Sus scrofa: one gene and its partners. The protein of the gene in region 1 interacts with the protein of each later gene in a pairwise test. Links are inferred from orthologs where the notes say so. Each region holds a gene or a part of one and is shown in the gene's direction. Other genes may lie near its edges.

Region 1 (5,656 bases):
TGTTGGTCCCCCCGAAACTGAGGCCTGAGTCAGGGCGGGCATCCCCAGAGGTGGAGCCGGGTCCTTGGAGCAGTACGGGCTCCGCTGCGAGAGGCTCTGGGCCTGGAGTAACAGGTGGAGGGAGGGGACAGGGAGCCTGGGAACGTGGGTGCGGAGGCTTGTCTGGGGTCAGCCTGTCTAGAGCCCGCTAGGCTCCAGGGCCAGTCCCCCGCGCGGCCCGGTCCATGGACTGCAGGTGGGTGGTAGGGCCTCACCCCACCTGCCCAGGCCCACCAGGCAGAGGGGGTCCGAGGGGTCAGGGCACCGTGCCATCAAGTGATCTGTGTTCCAGGATTGCCCTAGGGCGACACCCACTGCTGCGGCCAGGAGGAGGTGGGCCCGGGGCCCCCGCTGACCCCCTGACCCGCGGAAGAAAGGCCCTACCAGCAGCGACCACGTCATGACGTGCACATCAGAGCAGCGGAGGGGCAAAGACATGGGGGGGCTCCCTGGGGGGCAGCAGCTGGGTCACCGCCATGGCACAGATTCAAGTCCTTGGCCTAGGAACTGCCCCAGCCGCAGGTGCAGCCAACAAATAAATAATTTTTTTTGAAGTCCTGTGGGGTTTTTTTGGCTGTGCTCATGGCACGCGGAAGCTTTTGGGCCGGGGACCAAATCCAGTCCACAGCAGGGATGAGGCCTGATCCTGAACCCCAGGCCACCAGCGGCCTTCCTGGAAATGCCCTGTTTTAATTAGAAGCCCGCCGCAGGGCGTATGCAGGCCTGCTGGGAGTTGGCCAGCGGGCCCTTGGGTCCACACGCCAGCGCAGGGCCGGGTGGGCGGGCGGGCCTGCTTCCTCTGCCGACCAGACCACGCGGGCTGGCCTGGGTGGGTCCCCAGAACCAGCGGCAGCCCGGCGGCCCTGGCCAGTGCCCCCTTGCAGGTGTTTCTTTGGCACGAGACCAAGCCCCTGTGCCCTCTGTCCCCTGTGTCCCAAGGAGCTCAGCTTCGGGCGCGTCACACCCTCCCAGGCACTGACTTCTGGGAGCCTCGTCCTCCTTCCCAGCTGCGTCCTTTTCACTCTGGAAATTTCCTACACACGAAACGAGACAAGGGTGCCCAGCGCGTCCTGCCCCTGCTCCCGCATACGGCAGTCACCGGGGCCCCCTGCACCCAGGTGTGACGCGTCACACAGGCCGCAGGCTGACGCCCCCTGGCAGGGGCGGGGGGTCCCTTTGCACCCGGGACTCAGTTAACCGAGTCCAGTTTTTCTCGCGACCTCCTCTGACCTGTGGGCTAAGTTTTCTTGTTCAATTTCCAAATGCTGAGTGAGGGTCCCGACGTCTCTGTGGCTGCTGCCTCGCCCAGAGCACACGACGTCTGCCTGAGCTCTAAGCCACGGGAACTGGGTCGTTGAGGGCCCGGTACCAGCCTGCCTGCTGGGCATGTAGGAGGCGGTGGCTCAGTCTCCTGCACCAAGTCCCCACCTGGCTTTCGCGGCTCCCGCAGGGGGCTCCCCATGCCCAGAGGGTGATGTCAGCTCCCCGGAAGGCCAGGCCACCACGCAACCCAGCAGTGCCAGGTCTGTGCCGGGACGCCCAAGGTTTCTGCGAAGTGGCCCGCTGACCATCCTGGGCAGAAGGCAGAGAAGCCCCCACACGGCCTGAGGCGTGAGACCCCACAGGAAGGGAGCTGGCCAGGCGGGAGGGAAGCTCCTCAGGAAGGGGGAGCCGGGAGCACCGGCCAGGCTCCCATCCAGCCCGTCCAGCCGCAGCCCCTTCGCGGAGCTGAAGCTGGCAGCTCGGTTCAACTGGCAAAGCTCCCCGGGCAGCGCGGTGGCCTGGGGATTCCCCAACCTGGCCAGGGTGCAGCTGGCAGCCAGGGCTGGGCTCCAGGCTTTGCCCGGCCTTCTGCAGCCCTTCTGAAGTGCTGGGGTGGGGGGCTGCTGTCACTGTCATGTGTCCTGGTGGAGAAGGGGTGGTCCCAGGAGGGGCGGGGCCGTGCCAGCCACAGCAGGCCAGTGTGCTGCGGGGCGCCTGTGCCCGGGGCCCTGTTTTGGGACACCACACCGCCCCCTCCTGGGACCAAAGTGGGCCAGCAGGGGCTCGAGCTCTGTCAAGCCTTGGCTCGCACTCCCCACTCCTCAGGGTCAGGGCTGGGCCTCCAGGGCGGGCCCTGGGCCCCGCGGCCAGCCCTGCGCTGGCTGGCAGGGCTCTGGGCAGCCTTCCTGGGGAGCCACTTCCACTTCCCTCCCCCGCCCCCCAGGCCGCCCTGCTCGGGCGAATCAGCAGCGGCCGCAGGGATGGTCCCTGCGGGGTTAACGCCAGGAAGTGCGCTCCCTCCCGCCCCACCCTCCCTGGCCGGCAGCCGCGGCAGCTCCCACCGCTCACACACCGGCTTGGCGGCCCAGGCTGGCCGGCGACCGGCCACTGCACAGGTGCCTCAGGAGGACCCCAAGGTAGGCTGGTCTGGTGCCCTTTCGGAAAGGCGGCGGCAAGCCCAGGTGGCTCAGGACTCTTGGGACAGGGAGAGGGATCTGGCGTGAACACCCCAGAAGGGCACCAAACGGCCTCACCTCTGCTGCCCCGTCCCCCTCGCAGCCACCTGGCACGGTCGCTTCGGTGGAATGCACAGCAGGTCATCGTCAGGCGTGGGTGCTGTGGACTTGAGGCTAGAAAGGCCGCAACAGGCCAGGTCCAGAGACCGGCCACCAAGGTGCTGGTGATTCCTCTGGACGCCGCGCCTGTCGCTAGGCGGGCGGGCCGAGGGCGGTGGGACCCACAGCCACGGCCTCTGGGATACCACGGCCTCTGGGACCGTGCCCCAGCCCCCGTGGCCCGGGAGCCGGTGTTTCCCAGGCAGGTTACAGGCTCAGTCCCAGGTGTTGAGGCGGGGTCTCTGTGCCCCCCGACCCCTCTCCCCCAGGAGGAGGCATGGCCACATGGCTGCTCCTGCTCAGCCCGCCCCAGAGCGTGGTCCCTGCCCACCCGCTGCTGGAAGGGCTAGCAGAGAGCAGCTTCCACGTAGATGGTCCCCTGTCAGGGAGCCAGCATCCCCGTGCTCAGCACTGTGGCCGAGGAGATGGGGAGAGCCCGGGGCCAGCTAGTGCCCAGCACCCAGAGCCTGGAGGAGGCGCGCAGCCGCGTCCTGGGCTGCCTGGGCGACACAGCTGGGCCCTCCCCATGTGCCCAGGGCCCTCCGGTGGGCTGCTCTCAGTCACGCTTCCTGGAGGGCACCACGTCCCTGGGCCTGACCGGAGCGGGCCAGCTGGGCAACTGTTGCATCACCAGCCACAGGAAGCAGAGGAAGGGATGGGAGTGGATGTGCGGGGGAATGAGGAAGTCCCGCGTGGCATGGCCTGCCGCCCGCAGGTGGGGGGCGCCCCAGCCGGGCGCGGGCTGGCCGGGGGTGGACCGGGACCCCTCCCTCATCTGCCGGGGAGGTTGTGCCAGCGCTCGGCCCAAACAGCTCCTGCTGCCCCCTCACCTCCAGGGAGGGAGGCAGCCTCCCTGCCCGCCCACAATGCTCGGGGAGGGGGATTCTCCCTGGGCACAGGCTGGGGGGGTAGCGTGGGGCAGGGGCCCAGGGTGACGGGGGCGGGGGAGAGGAAGCCCAGAGCGGCCAGAGGGCGGGGGCAGGGCAGGGCAGGGCGGCGGGCCAGTTGACGGGCCCTCTCTCGGAGCAGTGCGCCCGCCCGCACCATGTCCGACTACGAGAACGAGGACGAGTGCTGGAGCGGCCTGGAGGGCTTCCGCGTGAAGCTCATCTCCGTCATCGACCCCGCCCGCATCACGCCCTACCTGCGCCAGTGCAAGGTCCTGAGCCCCGACGACGAGGAGCAGGTGCTCAGTGACCCCAGCCTGGTCATCCGCAAGCGGAAAGTGGGTCAGTGCCGTGGGCGGCGGGCTCTGCCCACGCTCGTCCCTGTCCCCGGGAGGCCTGGCCGGCTCGGCCCCCGCCCCGCCCCCCCCATCACCAACCTGTCTGCCTGCGGCCGGGGCGCCGCCATGCACAGCAGAGGCCCCTGGGAGAGCCACACGAGGTGGGTGGCCGATGGGGACTGGCCCAGACCCACTCTGCGGCCACCCCGCGGGGCCTCGAGGGGCCACACGCGTGCCTGGGGACGCCGGCCGCCCCGGCCCCCAGCCAGGCCCATCTGGGTTGCAGGCGTGCTCCTGGACATCCTGCAACGCACCGGCCACAAGGGCTACGTGGCCTTCCTCGAGAGCCTGGAGCTCTACTACCCGCAGCTCTACAAGAAGGTCACGGGCAAGGAGCCCACCCGCGTCTTCTCCGTCATCATTGGTGAGGAAGGGCACCGGGCCTGGGGACCCAGGGCCCGGACTCAGGGGCCGGGGCGCCCCCCTGACCTGGGCCCCTAACGGATAAAGCGTGCATGCGCTCTGGCGGAAGGATACCGCCCGCCTGGGGCCCGCCCGCCCGCTCTCCTGCTGCAGCCCGGGGAGGGGGCAGGGGCCGGAGGGAAGGGGGACCTGAACTCCAGGGCGGGAGCAGGGGGAGGGGAGGCACAGGCTGATTCTTGGCTCAGAGCCCCCCTGCCCAGAAGACCACCTGACCCCACTAAAACCCTGCTCCCGAGAGGCCGCGGCAGCCGGAGAGGTGCCGCTCTCCTGGTCCTGAGTCGTGTCCCCTCGCCTCTCAATCAAGATGACCAAAGTGGACAAAGAGGGAGGGACACGTGAGCCCCTGGCTGCACCGTCCTGGGAGGGGCTGGGGACGGGGCCTGCAGGTGAGTCAGGACCAGACCCCTGGGCCGGGCTCCCCGGGCCGCCGGTCCTGGAGCCGCGCGAGATGCTGGGCTGCTGGGCGCGCCGTCTGATGAGGCCCGGTCCGCAGACGCGTCTGGGGAGTCCGGCCTGACGCAGCTGCTGATGAGCGAGGTGATGAAGCTGCAGAAGAAGGCGCAGGACCTGACGGCGCTGCTGGGCTCCAAGGACGACCTCATCAAGGAGCTGCGCGTGAAGGACGGCCTGCTGCGCAAGCACCAGGAGCGCGCGCAGAGGCTCAAGGAGGCCTGCGAGGCCGGCGGCCGCGAGCTCCAGCGCTGCAAGGACGAGAACTACGACCTGGCCCTGCGCCTGGCCCGTCAGAGCGAGGAGAGGGGCACCGCGCTCATGCGCAACCGAGACCTGCAGCTGGAGGTGCCTGGCGGCGGGGCGGCCGGGCGGGCGGCGGGCGGGCGGCGGGCCCCCGGGCTGGGCTGACGGGCGGCCCCGCAGATCGATCGGCTCAAGCACAGCCTCATGAAGGCCGAGGACGACTGCTCGGTGGAGCGCAAGCACACGCTGAAGCTCCGGCACGCCATGGAGCAGCGGCCCAGCCAGGAGCTGCTGTGGGAGCTGCAGCAGGAGAAGGCGCTGCTGCAGGCCCGGGTGCAGGGCCTGGAGGCCTCCGTGCAGGTGGGGCCAGCGGGGCGAGCACAGCGCAGCCGGGCGGGGGGCCTCCAGCCCCGCCGCCCCGCCACCCTCTCCCTTGGCGCCACAGGAGGGGCGGCCGGACCAGAGCAGCCCCTACATCCAGGTGCTGGAGGAGGACTGGCGGCAGGCGCAGCGGGACCTCCAGGAGCAGACCCGCACCGTGTTCTCCCTGCGCAAGGACCTGCGCCAGGCCGAGGCCCAGCGCGCCCGGGTACGCGGCCCGCGGTGGGGGAGGTGG
Region 2 (4,099 bases), on another chromosome or scaffold:
GTCCTCATGGATACTAGTCTGGTTCATTACCACTGAGCCACAACAGGAATTCCAGAGCTTACAGTTTAATACCACTGGTGGGACGGGTTCCTAACAGGTTAGCTCTACTATGAGTTCCCATCTAGCTTTCTTTAGGGTTCTTGCAACTAGGTGAGTTCCCCGTAATTGGAATGTGGCTTATTACAATAAAATCAGGGAGAAGAAACACTTGGGTCAGTGGTTTTCTGTAATAGAGTGCCAGCTGATACTTTCCTGGCCCACAAGTTACTCACTGTGATGAGTTATCTATTGTATAACAACCCAAACCAAAATTAAGTGACTTGGAATGATTATTTCTCACAATTTTGAAGACAGACTATGCAGTTCCCCTGCTGGTTTTACCTGGTTCTCTTAGGCAGTTGAATCCAGCTGGAAAATTAACTGGCTTCACTCATATGTCTGATAGTTGGTGCTAACTATCAGCTAGATGCTTCACTTCTTCTGTAGGCTAGACTGGTTTCCTTTCATAGTGGTTTCGGGGCGGCATTCCAAGAGGGCAGAGGTAGAACTTAGCAGGGTCTTTCAAGGCTGTGAGGGGAAGAATCTGTGGCATTTAAATAATCCACCACCACTCACTGTGTTAGAACAGAGTCATTTCTGAGTTGCATCACCCATGCTTAGACATTACTAGGAATGAGAGGATAATCTCAGATTACACAGGGAAACCCTCAATAGAAACCTCTGTCCTCAGCCTGCAGTTTCGTAAGGTTTTTATCCTGAGCTTCAAGGAGTCCACGTACCCTTTAATACTGTATGAAAAATGATGTGTATGTTTGCATTTCTCTAATAAAAGGGATGTGACTCTCTACCTCCAAAAAAAAAAAAGGTTAAAGGCACTGCAATCTAATTAGTGATGGTTGATCTTTGGTTTGGGACAAGTAAGCACACTACCAAAGAAATATCAAAAAATTCTTAATGTTATTTTGTTCAAAATGTTAATCTTAATGTTATTATGTTCAAAATGTTATTTATTTATTGTCTTTTGTCTTTTTAGGGCCGCACGCGTGGCATATGGAGGTTCCCAAGGTAGGGGTCTAATCGGAGGTACAGCAGCCAGCCTATACCACAGCCACAGCAACGCCAGATCCAAGCCATACCACACCTCACAGCAATGCCGGATCGTTAACCCACTTTGCGAGGCCAGGGGCAGAACCCGCAACCTCATGGTTACTAGTCGGATTTGTTTCCACTGCGCCACAACAGGAACTCCAACACAGTTATTTTAAATTTTGATTTTTCTTTTAAAGCTAAAAAGGCTTTCTCAGGAAGGGAAATTAGTAATGTCATAAAATCAAGCAACAATAGTATATTGGAACCTCAAAAAGGCTGGAATCAATTTTTGGGAGTTTGCAGTACCAGGTTTTGCAAACATAATAAAGACCACCTCACCTTCTTATTTATTGAGCTCCTGATCTTGATTCCTAACAGGTAATGACTGGAGTTAAATAATGCTTAAAAGGAGGTGGGACCGGGTCATGTTCAGGTAAAACTGCGTCTGTCTGAAGCTGGACTGATACTGATAGTTTTGTTCTCTGAACAGGCTTGAGAAGGAGAAAGCAGAAATTGAACGCATGCGAAACCTGACTGAGGAAGAGAGGCGAGCTGAGCTTCGGGCAAATGGCAAAGTCATTACCAACAAAGCTGTTAAGGGCAAATATAAGTTCTTACAGAAGTATTATCACCGGGGTGCCTTCTTCATGGTAAGTGAAAAGAAAATGGGAAAATGGGGTAGTAGGAATAACTCAGAAGCTTTGAATGCTTTTTCCCCGTCAAGAATAAAGTGGCCCTGGGATGTGACCTCCACTTGCCAGTGGTCTGCGTTCTCATTTGCTTTTTGTCTCTGAAGAATATGAAAGCACCAGAGAGAAGCAATGGCAATAGGATTTTAAAAACATCAACTATTCTCTTTTGGCTCCAGCTCTCTGAAGAAGGAAATGATGTAATAGAGGAAATGAGGAACTGACATAGTGATCTATATAGATACTAGACTATTTAGGTCCCCCAAATCACTTAGATATCATTATTCATCGTTGAGTGCGAAATCTTGGTTAGGAGAAAACCATGATCTGCAAAGAGCTTTACATTAACTCCTGTTTGAGTGCAGATGTTTAATTCACTTCATTTTGAGATGGCAAAGTGACTGAGTCTAACTAACCCAGAAAATGGTCAGTTATCTTACATTATGTGTCATGCCATCATCTTTGTTTTTCATAAAAAGGCCAAGGTCAAGATAGCAGGCTGTTAACCCTGTATAAAGTGAAAAGGACTTCTTCCAAACTATTTGGATTAGCACTAGTGATAATTCCTCAATAGAGTTAGCAGGAAAAGGAATGGGAGGATTGATAGCATTTGTTTCTCTAATAGCATGTGGTTTGTTAAATTATTTCCTGATGTTAAAAGACTTGGTATTGGAGTTCCCGTCATGGCTCAGTGGTTAACGAATCCTACTAGGAACCATGAGGTTGCGGGTTCGATCCTTGGCCTTGCTCAGTGGATTAAGGATCCAGCATTGCCTTGAGCTGTGGTGTAGGTCGCAGACACGGCTCAGATCCCATGTTGCTGTGGCTCTGGCGTAGGCTGGTGGCTGCAGCTCCAATTGGACCCCTAGCCTGGGAACCTCCATATGCCACGGGAGTGGCCCTAGAAAAGGCAAAAAGACACACACACAAAAAAAGAGTTGGTATTGAGTTCCCCTTGCAGCTCAGCGGTAATGAACCCAAATAGTATCCATGAGGATTTGTTTTTGATCCCTGGCCTCACTCAGTGGGTTAAGGATCTGGCACTGCCCTGAGCTGCGCTGTAGGTCACAGACGCAGCTCGGATCCAGCGTTGCTGTGGCTGTGGTGTAGGCTGGCAGCTATAGCTCTGATTCAACCCCTAGCCTGGGAACTTCCATATGCTGTGGGTACAGCCCTAAAAAGACAAAAAAAAAAAAAAAAAAAAAAAAAAAGTTTGAATCAAAAAGTAGACTAGCTTTTCAAATTTTGTATAGAAAACCTTAAATATCCCTACTGCAGATACCAGTAAAATTTTTAAATTTCAGCGGAGGAGGCCTTACTTCCATCTCTTCAAAATCAGTTTCACTCTATCTGATTAGCAGGAAATATTTGCTTATTATATAGTTTTCTAGCCTATGTGGTTTTCTAGATAGGAGTCAGTGGATTATGGATTATTTCTTGTACTACTTCAGAGTTGTAAAATATTGCTTAAGCATTTCAGCTCCTTTAATAATCAAGCTTCCTAGAGAAATAGTGCATTGCTGACTAAGCTACATTAGGAAGGCTGTATGTGAAAGTCTTTTTGGTGCAGATACTCACATATCAAAAGGATGACATCAGGAGATGACATTTAAGATGTATAGACTTTATTTTTTATTTTTTTGCTTTTTAGGGTCACACCTGTGGCATATGGAGGTTGCCAGGCTAGGGGTCGATCGGAGCTATAGCTGCTGGCCTACGCCACAGCCACAGTAATGCCATCTGCGACCTACTCCACAGCTCACGGCAACGCCAGATCCTTAACCCACTGAGCAGGGCCAGGGATGGAACCCACAACCTCATGGTTCCTGGTCGGATTCATTTCTGCTATGCCTTGACAAGAACTCCAAGATGCATAGGCTTTTTGACATTCAGTGGTAGGAAGACATTCCAGGTGAAGGAACCAGAAGGAATGGAGACAGAAAGTAACATCTGTAAAGGCAAGAAGAGGTAGATTAAGGCTTGACTACTACACAGAGTAATTGTGCTTATTTATTTAGTAGAGAACCATTGAAAGTTTTTGAGCAGGACAGAGGTATAATGAGTTGTATTTTTCCAGGAGTTCCTGTCGTGGTGCAGCAGAAACAAATCTGACTAGGAACCATGAGGGCTAAGGGTCTGTCGTTGCCATGAGCCGTGGCGTAGGTTGCAGACACAGCTGGGATCTGGCATTGCTGTGGCTCTGGCATAGGCTAGCAGCTACAGCTCCAATTCAGCCTAGCCTGGGAACCTCCATATGCCACAGATGTGGCCGCAAAAAAAAAAAAAAAAAAAAAAGAACAGAATTAATCCAGTGGGATGTG
Region 3 (4,968 bases), on another chromosome or scaffold:
GCCCCCTTGTGACCTTATATAGCTGATGAGAGAGGAGTGAGTGAGTCACCCCCTCCGTGCCCCCCCCACACCCATGCAGGCTGTGCATTCCTGAGAAGCCCAGTCAGTAGTTGGGGTGGGGGGAGAGAAGCAGGGTGAGGGGAGAGAGAGACACAGGGACAGAGAGCAAAAAAAAAAAAAAAAAAAAAAAGGACTTTTCCAGAATGGACAATAACGACACAGCTTGTTATCCCAAAAGGCAATATAAAATGAAACAGAAAGGGGTTCCCAGAAGTTTAGGTAAAACTGTCAGCAGTAGAAGTGGTTCCTTTTGGAAGTTGGGATATAAGGGGCCTGGTTCTTGTCACTTGATTCTGCCAGCCAGCTGTTCCACAGACACAGACCGGGGCCCACTGGGTACAGGCTGGACTGCCCCCCTCCCCCGTGTTCCCCCAGTGTTGATCTTCTGTTGAGACCTCATCTGACATCTGGCTGAGCCCTTCCTTACCCACTGTAGCAACTTCCACACTTCTATTGACAGAAGGCACAAGAAAATTCTCTGGAAGGTTAGGTTAGGAGGTGGTTAAAAAAATGACAGCAGGGACAAGTGGAACCTGGAGGGCCAGGAGGTAGGAGGAGCAAATATGACAACTTTATAATAGTATGATCCAGAGAGAGGGAGCCATTGGGATATTTGGAGGAAGAGTGTTCCAGGCAGAGGGAGCAGCCAGTGCAAAGGCCCCGAGGTAGGCGTGCCCTTGATGGGATTGAAGGAATTCAGGCCAATGTGGCTGGAGTGGAGGAGGATACCCAAGAAGTGAGTGGGGAAAGTCACTTTGGGGCCACCCGTTGGCCTGTGACCAGGCTCTGGCTTTTGCTCCCAGTGAGACAGGGGCCAATGCCACGTTTGTATCCAAGGAGTGACACACACAGTCTCTGAGTTCCAGCTTCCCTCGGGGACCTTGGTGTTAGCAACCATCTGTCCAGCCACCATCCTGGTTTCTCTCTTTTCATACCCAAGTCCATGCAGAGATTCAGGGATGCAGGGCCCCCGCCCTGAGTTTCCCAAACAGATGCCAGAGAAAGCCTGAGTAGATCATCTGGACCTTTCTGAGCAGTTCACATGGAATCCTTCTGTTGGTCTCCTTAATCGCTTTGGCTCCCAGAGTTAATCCCACGCTGCCCCTTCCCCCTGAGCTTCTTAGGAGGGCAAAGGGGAAGGGTAAAAAGGTAGTGAGAACAGCTGGGGCTCGCCTGCTCTCGAGACAGTATGTTTACAAAGGATTTTCTGCCCCTTCCAGATTCCCCCTCTGGTCCTTTGCCTCTGTCTGCATGTCCCCTCTCATGCCCTCTCCACCCCCATCCCATGTTTGCGTGGACTTTCCTCTCTGCCCCGTCACCTCCCCTTTCAGGGACGCATTTTCTCCCTGTGTTTTGGGGGAACGTTTCATTTCCTCTGCACTTGTCTCTTAGTCTCCTATCCCCTCAGACCTGAGACCCTTTCCCGTGGTCACTCCAGCTGGAGGAGAGGAGTAAGGGTGGGAGGAGCTAGTGTCTGGGGTCCTGGGTTTCTTTCACAGCAAGGGGCTGAGAGTATGGAAACCAGTGTGTCTGTCTCGGAGTTCCCTTGTGGCACAGTGGGTCAAGGATCTGGTATTTTCACTGCAGGGGCTTGGGTTGTTGCTGTTATAAGGGTTCGATTCCTACCCCAGGAACTTCCACATGCAGTGGGTGCAGACAAAGAAAAAAGAAAAAAAAGTGCCTGTCTTTTGCTTTTGCCTAAGACTCCCTCCCTAGTCAGAACTTTCCTGCCTAGCAGACACAAATCTTACCTCCTCCAGGTAGCTGTCCTGATTGCTCCCAGGGTGCCCAAAGACTCGATTCTTGCGTTTCTGTTTTGTGTGTCAGCTTTTAAGGGCTGCACCTGCAGCATATGGAAGTTCCCAGGCTAGGGGTTGAATTGGAGTTGCAGCTGTCAGCCTACACCACAGCCACAGCAACGCGGGATCCAAGCCATGACAGCGACCTACACCAAGGGCATGGCAACGCCTAGTCCCTGACCCACTAAGCGAGGCCAGGGATCGAACCCACATCCTCATGGGTTCTAGTCAGATTTGTTTCCTCTGTGCCATGATAGGAACTCCCCAAAGACTCAATTCTGATCACAGGACTAACCTCCACGTCTTTTCATTTCTTTTTACCTTTCTGCCTCCCACACTCTAAAGAGTGAGAACCTTGGTCCTGTGTTACTCACTTCTGCCACCCAGGCCCCTGCCAAAAGCTCAGGCCAAAGTCAATGTTTTTGAAACGATATGGCTGAAGAAGGAAAATCTGAGATTAGAGAGCAAGTACTGAAAGGAAAACTGGTTTCCAGAGTGACTGGGGAGGCCAAAGGCAGCAGAGGGCCCAGATCCAGCCCCCACTCCCCATCCTGCGCCCGCTGCCCTGCCGTCATCTCCGGGCTGACCTCGCCTCCCCGCTTTCTCTCCCCTCAGCTCAAGATCTCCTTCAGCGAGACAGCCCTGGAGACCACGTATCAGTACCCCTCCGAGAGTTCGGTGCTGGAGGAGCTGGGACCTGAGCCTGAGGCCCCTAGTGCCCCCAGCCCCCCAGCGGCCCAACCCGACGACGAAGAGGATGAAGAGGAGCTGCTACTGCTGCAGCGGGAGCTCCAGGGCGGGCTGCGTACCAAGGCCCTGATAGTGGGTGAGCAACAGGCTCTGCCATCCCGAGGGCGCCCCCTGGTGTTCAGAGAGGGCACTGCGGCCCAGGAGGACGGGGAGGATTTAATGCTGGCGCTTCCAGGGGCTCAGCAGGGCTTCTAGCCCAACTGGCTGCTTTAACAGATGGGGAAACTGAGGTCCCAGTAAACGAAGCGCACATGCGGTCTCCAGATTTCCAGGACTCTTGCTGAGCGCTATAGTGTGGTTAAAAACATAAGTGTTGGATCAGGCCTAAGTTTGATTTCCATCCTGTCTCTTAGGGAAATCACCTCACCTCTGGCCTCAGTTTATTATTTGTGAAATGGGGTTAATAATAACTACCTCTTGGAGTTCTCGCTGTGGCACAATGGCTTTGGTGGTGTCTTGGGAGCGCTGGGGCGCATGTTCGATCCCTGGCCCTGTACAGTGGGTTGAGGATCTGGCTGTTGCTACAGCTATGGGTTGGGTCTCGACTGCAGCTCGGATCTGATCCCTGGCCCGGGAACTCTGTATGCGGTGTGGCAGCCAAAAATGAAAACAAAAACAAAGAACAAACAAACAAAAACTGCCTCCTGGGAGTTCCTTTTGTGGCTCAGCAGAAATGAATCTGATTAGGATCTGTGAGGATGCAGGTTCGATCCCTGGCCTCACTCAGTGGGTTAAGGATCCAGCATTGCTGTGAGCTGTGGTGTAGGTCACAGGCGAGGCTCGCATCTGGCATTGCTGTCACTGTGGTGTAGGCCGGCAGCTGTAGTTCAGATTCGACCCCTAGCCTGGGAACCTCCATATCCTGCAGATGCAGCCTTAAAAAGACAAAAACAAACAAAAACCTTCCCCCTGCAGTTGTTGAGAGGGTTAAGTTTTGTTTTTTGTTTTTTGTTTTTGTTTTTTTGCTTTTTAGGGCCACATCCGCGGCCTATGGAGTTTCCCGGGCTAGGGGTCTCATCGGAGCTACAGCTGCCTGCCTACACCACAGCCACAGCAATGCAGGATCCAAGCCGAATCTTCAACCTACACCACAGCTCACGGCAATGCCAGATCCTTAACCCACTGAGCAAGGCCAGGAACAACCTTGACCTCATGGTTCCTAGTCAGATTCCTTTCCTCTGCACTACGACAGGAACTGACATACCTATGAACTATGGCTGGACATCGACTCTCCTGCGGTCACTGTGAGATTAAACAAGTTATGAGGATGGCTGGCACAGAAGCTAGGCTAAATGAGTGAGGGGTGCTCTTCCTGGTAGGAACAAGCCCTGTGATTTGGAGAATACTGTGTGATTTCCTATGTAACAGCTGGCCTTCAGTATGGGGAGTGGGTGGGGACTGAGACCTTCACTCATTCTCTGTCCTTATTGCCTCCTCTCCACAGACGAGTCTTGCCGGAGGTGACCCTCTTCCAACGCAGGCCTGTACCTCCCTCCTTCCCAGAACTGAAGATCCTGGAGCCCAGAAGATTCAGAGCAGACAGACCCTGAAAATGAGCCTGGCAGGGAAGGGCAACTAACATCTTCCAACTCGCTTTCCTCATCCTGTTTCTGGGGGCAGAGGCAACCGCTCAGTTTCCACCCTGGGCAGATGTGCTGGTGCATCCGAGGTGATCCAAAGTCCCCCTTCATGTCCTGGGGAGGAGTAGAGAGCTCACTGGGGTGGGGAGGCAGCACCCTCTCCATCTCCCGGGCAGGGTACAGTCTCTTCACAGACTCCCCCCACCCTCTTGGGGTCTCCGGATTTAAGCACCCACCTCCCTGGGAGTCCGGGCCTCCACTCCATTCCCAGAGAGGGCCTGGCCTCCTTACTGTTCCTTAGGTTATTGCCCCCTTTGTTTACTGCCCCTGCCTCCTCTCTGGACCACAACCTGGTTTACAAACCCCATCAGCCCCCAGCGCCCACCTGCCAAAGTCCCAGGTTTACAAGCCACGCCTCCTCGGAGGGCCCTGTGGAATCTTCTCCTCTGCCCCCTGCTGTCACCTCCGTGGGGTATGGCTTCCTCCACTTTTGCTCAGTATTACTGTGTCTCAGTTTTCCCCAAGAGGGAATGCTGGGAACCTTAACTCTGTATCCTCCCCACCCCCACCCCAGTTATTTAATTCTGTTCCTCCTAGTGGTTCACGAGTGAATTGAATTGCGAGGGTGTGGGGTGGATCATGAGGCACCTCAACTCTCTTCCCGTTTCTCCTTCCTTCTCCATTGCCTATTTTTGTTTTGTTTTGTTTTTGTTTGTTTTTTAACTTTCCATAATAAAATGGAGCTCTCTCCGACTCTCCCGCTACTTCTCTTTCTTTAG
Region 4 (4,968 bases), on another chromosome or scaffold:
TGGGTTCTTAACTGGAGCCGCAATGAGAACTCCAAGTAGGTTCTTGTTATTTGACGTTGTTCTTTCACATCAAGAAAGTGAAAAAGAATGTATGTATATGACTGGGTCACTTTGCTTGCTGTACAGCAGAAATTGGCACAACATTATAAATCAACTATAATTTAAAAATACCAAAAAAACAGTGCTGTAAAGACTAGGAAAATATATGTGAACATTGATATTCCTTTTATCTCTATGAGATTATCTTCTCTTTACACACAGAAACTAAATGAGAGCATTGTCTTTTTTTTCCAGTGACTCAAAAAAATTACGGAATTTTAATAGTGTTTAGTGTTTCCCAATCCTTAGTACAAAACTGTACTGTGTTTTCTCCTTGTTTTCTCCTCAGGTCAACTGTTCTTTTCTATTTATCATTTTTAAAATGCTTTTAGGTATGCAGTTATTTACATGTATTTATCCATATGTAATCATCATATCTGTAAATGACTGCAGAAATGCCACAAGTTGATTTTGAGAGTTATAAGTAAAATTTTAGCAAGTAGCTGAATTCACAAACATGGAATCTATAAATGAAAGTCAAGTATATATTTTTGTAATCAGTCTTGTCCCTGGAACTGATTTTATGGTTTTGTTTTTCTTACAGACTCAGGTAGGACGTTTTGCACCTCAGTTCTCTGGATACCAGCAGCAGGACTGTCAAGAACTATTAGCTTTCCTATTAGATGGACTGCATGAGGATTTGAATAGAATTAGGAAAAAACCATATATACAATTAAAAGATGCTGATGGAAGGCCAGATAAGGTAAATTTAACCATATTATTGTCACCATTGATATAATAATGTGATACCTCTGTGTAATATGTGTCTGTTTTCTTTATAGGTAGTTGCTGAAGAAGCCTGGGAAAACCATTTAAAAAGAAATGATTCTATCATTGTAGATATATTTCATGGCCTTTTTAAATCAACTTTAGTTTGTCCTGAATGTGCTAAGATTTCAGTAACATTTGATCCTTTTTGTTACCTGACACTTCCATTGCCCATGAAAAAAGAACGTACCTTGGAAGTTTATTTAGTTAGAATGGATCCACTTACCAAACCTATGCAGGTAAGAAATGATTCTTTTCTTTTCTTTTTTTTGCCTTTTCTAGGGCCGCTTCCCATGGCATATGGAGGTTCCCAGGCTAGGGGTCGAACTGGAGCTGTAGCCACCAGCCTACGCCAGAGCCATAGCAATGCAGGATCTGAGCTGCATCTGCCACCTACACCACAGCTCACAGCAACGCCAGATCCTTAACCCACTGAGCAAGGCCAGGGATCGAACCCACAACCTCATGGTTCCTAGTCAGATTCGTTTACCACTGCGCCACGACGGGAACTCCAAGAAATGATTATTTTCTTGGCATTTGTTATTTTTATGAAAAATTTGTGATGAGTCCTTATGCCTCAAACACAATTAGATAAAACTAAGCTTTTTTGCATGAGATTTTTATAAGATAAATACTTTGGAAATCAGTACAACTTTTCAGGATCTTGAAAGGGTGAGCAGTGTGCAGAGTATCATTATTTGTCATGTAGAAAAAAATTTCTCAAAGGCTTTTTCTTATCAAAGAAAAATGAGAGTGGTTTGACTTAACAATGTTGGTATGAATATTAGCTTACAAAGATTAATAATGTAGTGTTATTTTCCCTATTTCCCAACTTGAACTTTCTTTAATGTTAATTGTAATTTTTTTCCTAGTGGCTATGGAAGTGAAAATAGGACTGTACATTTTGATTCATGATATGATAAAATAATGGTAATATTTAAATACCTGTAATTTTTAGGCATCTAAAGAATGTGAAAGAGAAACATAAATTTAGTTATACTAAAAATACTTGCTTCAGGAATTCCCCTTGTGGCTCAGCAGGTTAAGGACCCAACACTGTCTCTTTGAGGATGCAGATTCAATCCCTGGCCTCCCTCAGTAGGTTAAGGATCCAGCATTGCTGCAAGCTGCAGTTTAGGTCACAGCTGTGACTCTGATCCAGTGTTGCTGTGTCTGTAGTGTAGGCCCAGCTGCAACTCCAATTCAGTCCCTAGCCTGGGAACTTCCATAATGCAGTAGCTGTGGCTATTTAAAGAAGGTGGGGGGACTTGTTTCACCAACGTTCTTACCTTTTAACTGTTGAGAGTATCAGTTGTCTGCCTGATTCCATTGCTTAGGGTCATAATTGGATTATTTTACATTTTAGGGAGCAAAACACTATTCTCTCCCTTTATTAATCAATCAGTCCTTTTTGACACTTGACCCCCCCTAGTAAAAGTATTTCTTATCTCCTTCTTTTCCCCTAAATTCTATTATAACACTTACCAGGTTTTATTATGACCTTTGGTTTACTTTAACTTTTCTCCCCTAGACCATGAATTCTTTGAAGATTTCAAAGAATTTGAAAACTTTGTAAATCTTTGTCCAACCCTCAGGACTTAGAGGTGTTTAGAAATTTTGTTCATTCAATATGTATTAGGCACCTACTGAGTATAAAGCTCTGGTAAACAAAGTAGACATGGCTCCTGCTTTAGAAGATTGTTTACTAAAGGTCCTAGTTGAAGGTTCTAAATAGAAGCGCAGTTTGTTAGAGTGTGTTAGTTGCTTCATTCTGCACAGACTGGTGTAACAAAATGCCATAGACTGAGTGACTTAAACAACAGAAATCTGTTTTCTTCCTGTTCTAGAGGCTGGAAATCTAAGATCAGAATGCCAGTGTGGCGGTTTCTAGTACAGACTCTCTTCCTTCATTTACAGATGGCCTCCTCCTTACTGTGTCCTCAGACAGCAGAGAGGGGGAGAGAGAGTGTTGAGCACAAGCTCTCTGTTGTCTCTTCTTAGAAGGGTCCTGATCCCATCATGAGGGCCCCATTTGGTTTTTAATTTATTTTTCCAGCAATGTGAATTTCATGATCTCATTAAACTCTCTCTCAAAGGCCCCGTCTCCAGATATCATCACATTGATTAAGACTTCACATAAAGGAGTTCCCGTCGTGGCGCAGTGGTTAACGAATCCGACTAGGAACCATGAGGTTGCCGGTTCGGTCCCTGCCCTTGCTCAGTGGGTTAACGATCCGGCGTTGCCGTGAGCTGTGGTGTAGGTCGCAGACGCGGCTCGGATCCCGCGTTGCTGTGGCTCTGGCGTAGGCCGGTGGCTACAGCTCCGATTCAACCCCTAGCCTGGGAACCTCCATATGCCGCGGGAGCGGCCCAAGAAATAGCAACAACAACAACAACAAGGCAAAAAAAAAAGACTTCACATAAGAATTTTGAGAAGACAATTCAGTCCATAGCATTATTCATAAAATCTACATGAAAGGTATATGCTTTGGACAAAATTATGATCTTACCATTCATTTAATGGAAATATTTGAGTTTACCATCAAGTGTTTGAGTTTACCCAGAATATGAGGAATTAATAAAAAATATAGTCCTTTCATTCAAAGTAATAAGTGTAGTAGAGACTGGTCATGTACCCAGTTATGCAGATTTCACCCACTGCTTTTGCTGTCTGTTTAATATGTCTCCTTCATGAACTCATTAAATCTGCTACCCTCCTGTCAGTATTTGATCCCGTAGTGCTGAAGATATTATAGAGAGCAAGAGAGACCTGGCACTTGCCTTTATCTATGAGCAGGATTAATAAACACCTGCTTTTATTTTTGGCCAAGGGAATATATGAACATACTTCTAAAATTACATCCTTTACTCACTTATTCACTTATTTATAAGTATAGGATTGTTAACATTCTTTTTAAAGGAGAGAAAGTATAGCAGTATTAAACTACACCCTTACCTCTCTAGTTTGTAACTTTACAAATATATGCCAATAAGTATAAGGAAATAAGAGGAGTATTTAGAAAATGAGTAAAAAATCTAAAAATTAATGTACTGTCTCTCTACACTCATTTGCCAAAAATAGTGCTTTCCCATGCCAGTAATATAATCTGTATTATATAGAGGCAGATTGAATTCAAGTTACACATTAGCCCATAAGGTTTGTGTTATTCTCCCATAATTTGGGTTTTAATTTATTTTTCCAGCAATGTCGATTTCTTTAATTTACCTCTATTTTGGTGACCAGCAATAAAAATGTATGGATAGTAGAACCATGGTCAGCATAGGAAATTGGATTTTTTTTTCCACTTGGAGGCTGTAACAACTCAAATCCAAAATAATCACCTCATTAACACTATGCTTTAACCAGCTCAAAAGGAAAAGGAAGTTAACTAGGTTAGCCTACTTGAGTTTTCCTGTCACTGAAGTTGATTTAAATCATAGAAGTTTATTAGTAGTTGAACTGAAACATGTGTTAGGAATTGGACTCACATACTCTGCAAGGTGCTGGAATTACAAAGGTGTTCCTAGTCCTTGTTCTCAAGAAGCTTATATGGTGTGAAAAGTGCTCTGACGGTGCTATAGGAGCATACAGAAGGAATAACCTCAAACCAGTGATGACACCTGTGTTAAATCCTGAAGGATGACTAGGGTTATTTTGGGGGAAAGGGGTGTCTTTTAGGGCCACACCCACAGCATATGAACGTTCCCAGGCTAGGGGTCGAATTAGAACCTGCAGCTTCCAGCCTACACCACAGACACAGCAGCGCAGGATCCAAGCTGCATCTGCAACCCACACCACAGCTCACAGCAACTCCAGATCCTTAACCCATTGAGTGAAGCCAGGGATTGAACCCACATCCTTCATTGGTTCATTACCACTGAGCCACAACAGAAACTCGGGATCATTAGGTTTTAAGCACGTGAAGGTTGGGAATAAAACATTATAGATCAAGAGAGGGCTGAGGCAAAAGAGAACATGGTCTGCTTATGGAAACTATAAGTAAATAATACGGTAGGCAGAAGCTAGATCACAAAGAACCTTAATGCTAAGATAGGAAGTTTGGACTTCATCCTAAAGAATGAGGGAACCATGTAAGGTTA

The links.
Region 2: the proteins of CARD9 (region 1) and MFAP1 interact in binary tests that used the Homo sapiens proteins (3 or more experiments, as listed by UniProt). The two-hybrid records come from large-scale screens. The link is inferred for Sus scrofa from reciprocal best matches to the Homo sapiens genes CARD9 and MFAP1.
Region 3: the proteins of CARD9 (region 1) and PPP1R18 interact in binary tests that used the Homo sapiens proteins (3 or more experiments, as listed by UniProt). The two-hybrid records come from large-scale screens. The link is inferred for Sus scrofa from reciprocal best matches to the Homo sapiens genes CARD9 and PPP1R18.
Region 4: the proteins of CARD9 (region 1) and USP15 interact in binary tests that used the Homo sapiens proteins (3 or more experiments, as listed by UniProt). The two-hybrid records come from large-scale screens. The link is inferred for Sus scrofa from reciprocal best matches to the Homo sapiens genes CARD9 and USP15.

The regions. Positions count from the first base shown.
Region 1 is NW_018084833.1:1,340,976-1,346,631, forward strand, and holds the start of CARD9 (caspase recruitment domain-containing protein 9), read left to right. Parts: upstream 1-2,457; 5' UTR 2,458-3,007; coding exon 3,008-3,351; intron 3,352-3,665; coding exon 3,666-3,865; intron 3,866-4,147; coding exon 4,148-4,285; intron 4,286-4,837; coding exon 4,838-5,142; intron 5,143-5,220; coding exon 5,221-5,400; intron 5,401-5,485; coding exon 5,486-5,629; intron 5,630-5,656. UniProt on the Homo sapiens protein: Adapter protein that plays a key role in innate immune response against fungi by forming signaling complexes downstream of C-type lectin receptors.
Region 2 is NC_010443.5:127,750,455-127,754,553, forward strand, and holds part of MFAP1 (microfibrillar-associated protein 1), read left to right. Parts: intron 1-1,579; coding exon 1,580-1,739; intron 1,740-4,099. UniProt on the Homo sapiens protein: Involved in pre-mRNA splicing as a component of the spliceosome.
Region 3 is NC_010449.5:23,211,780-23,216,747, reverse strand, and holds the end of PPP1R18 (phostensin), read left to right. Parts: intron 1-2,474; coding exon 2,475-2,685; intron 2,686-4,053; coding exon 4,054-4,073; 3' UTR 4,074-4,942; downstream 4,943-4,968.
Region 4 is NC_010447.5:27,061,062-27,066,029, forward strand, and holds part of USP15 (ubiquitin carboxyl-terminal hydrolase 15), read left to right. Parts: intron 1-643; coding exon 644-802; intron 803-881; coding exon 882-1,106; intron 1,107-4,968. UniProt on the Homo sapiens protein: Hydrolase that removes conjugated ubiquitin from target proteins and regulates various pathways such as the TGF-beta receptor signaling, NF-kappa-B and RNF41/NRDP1-PRKN pathways.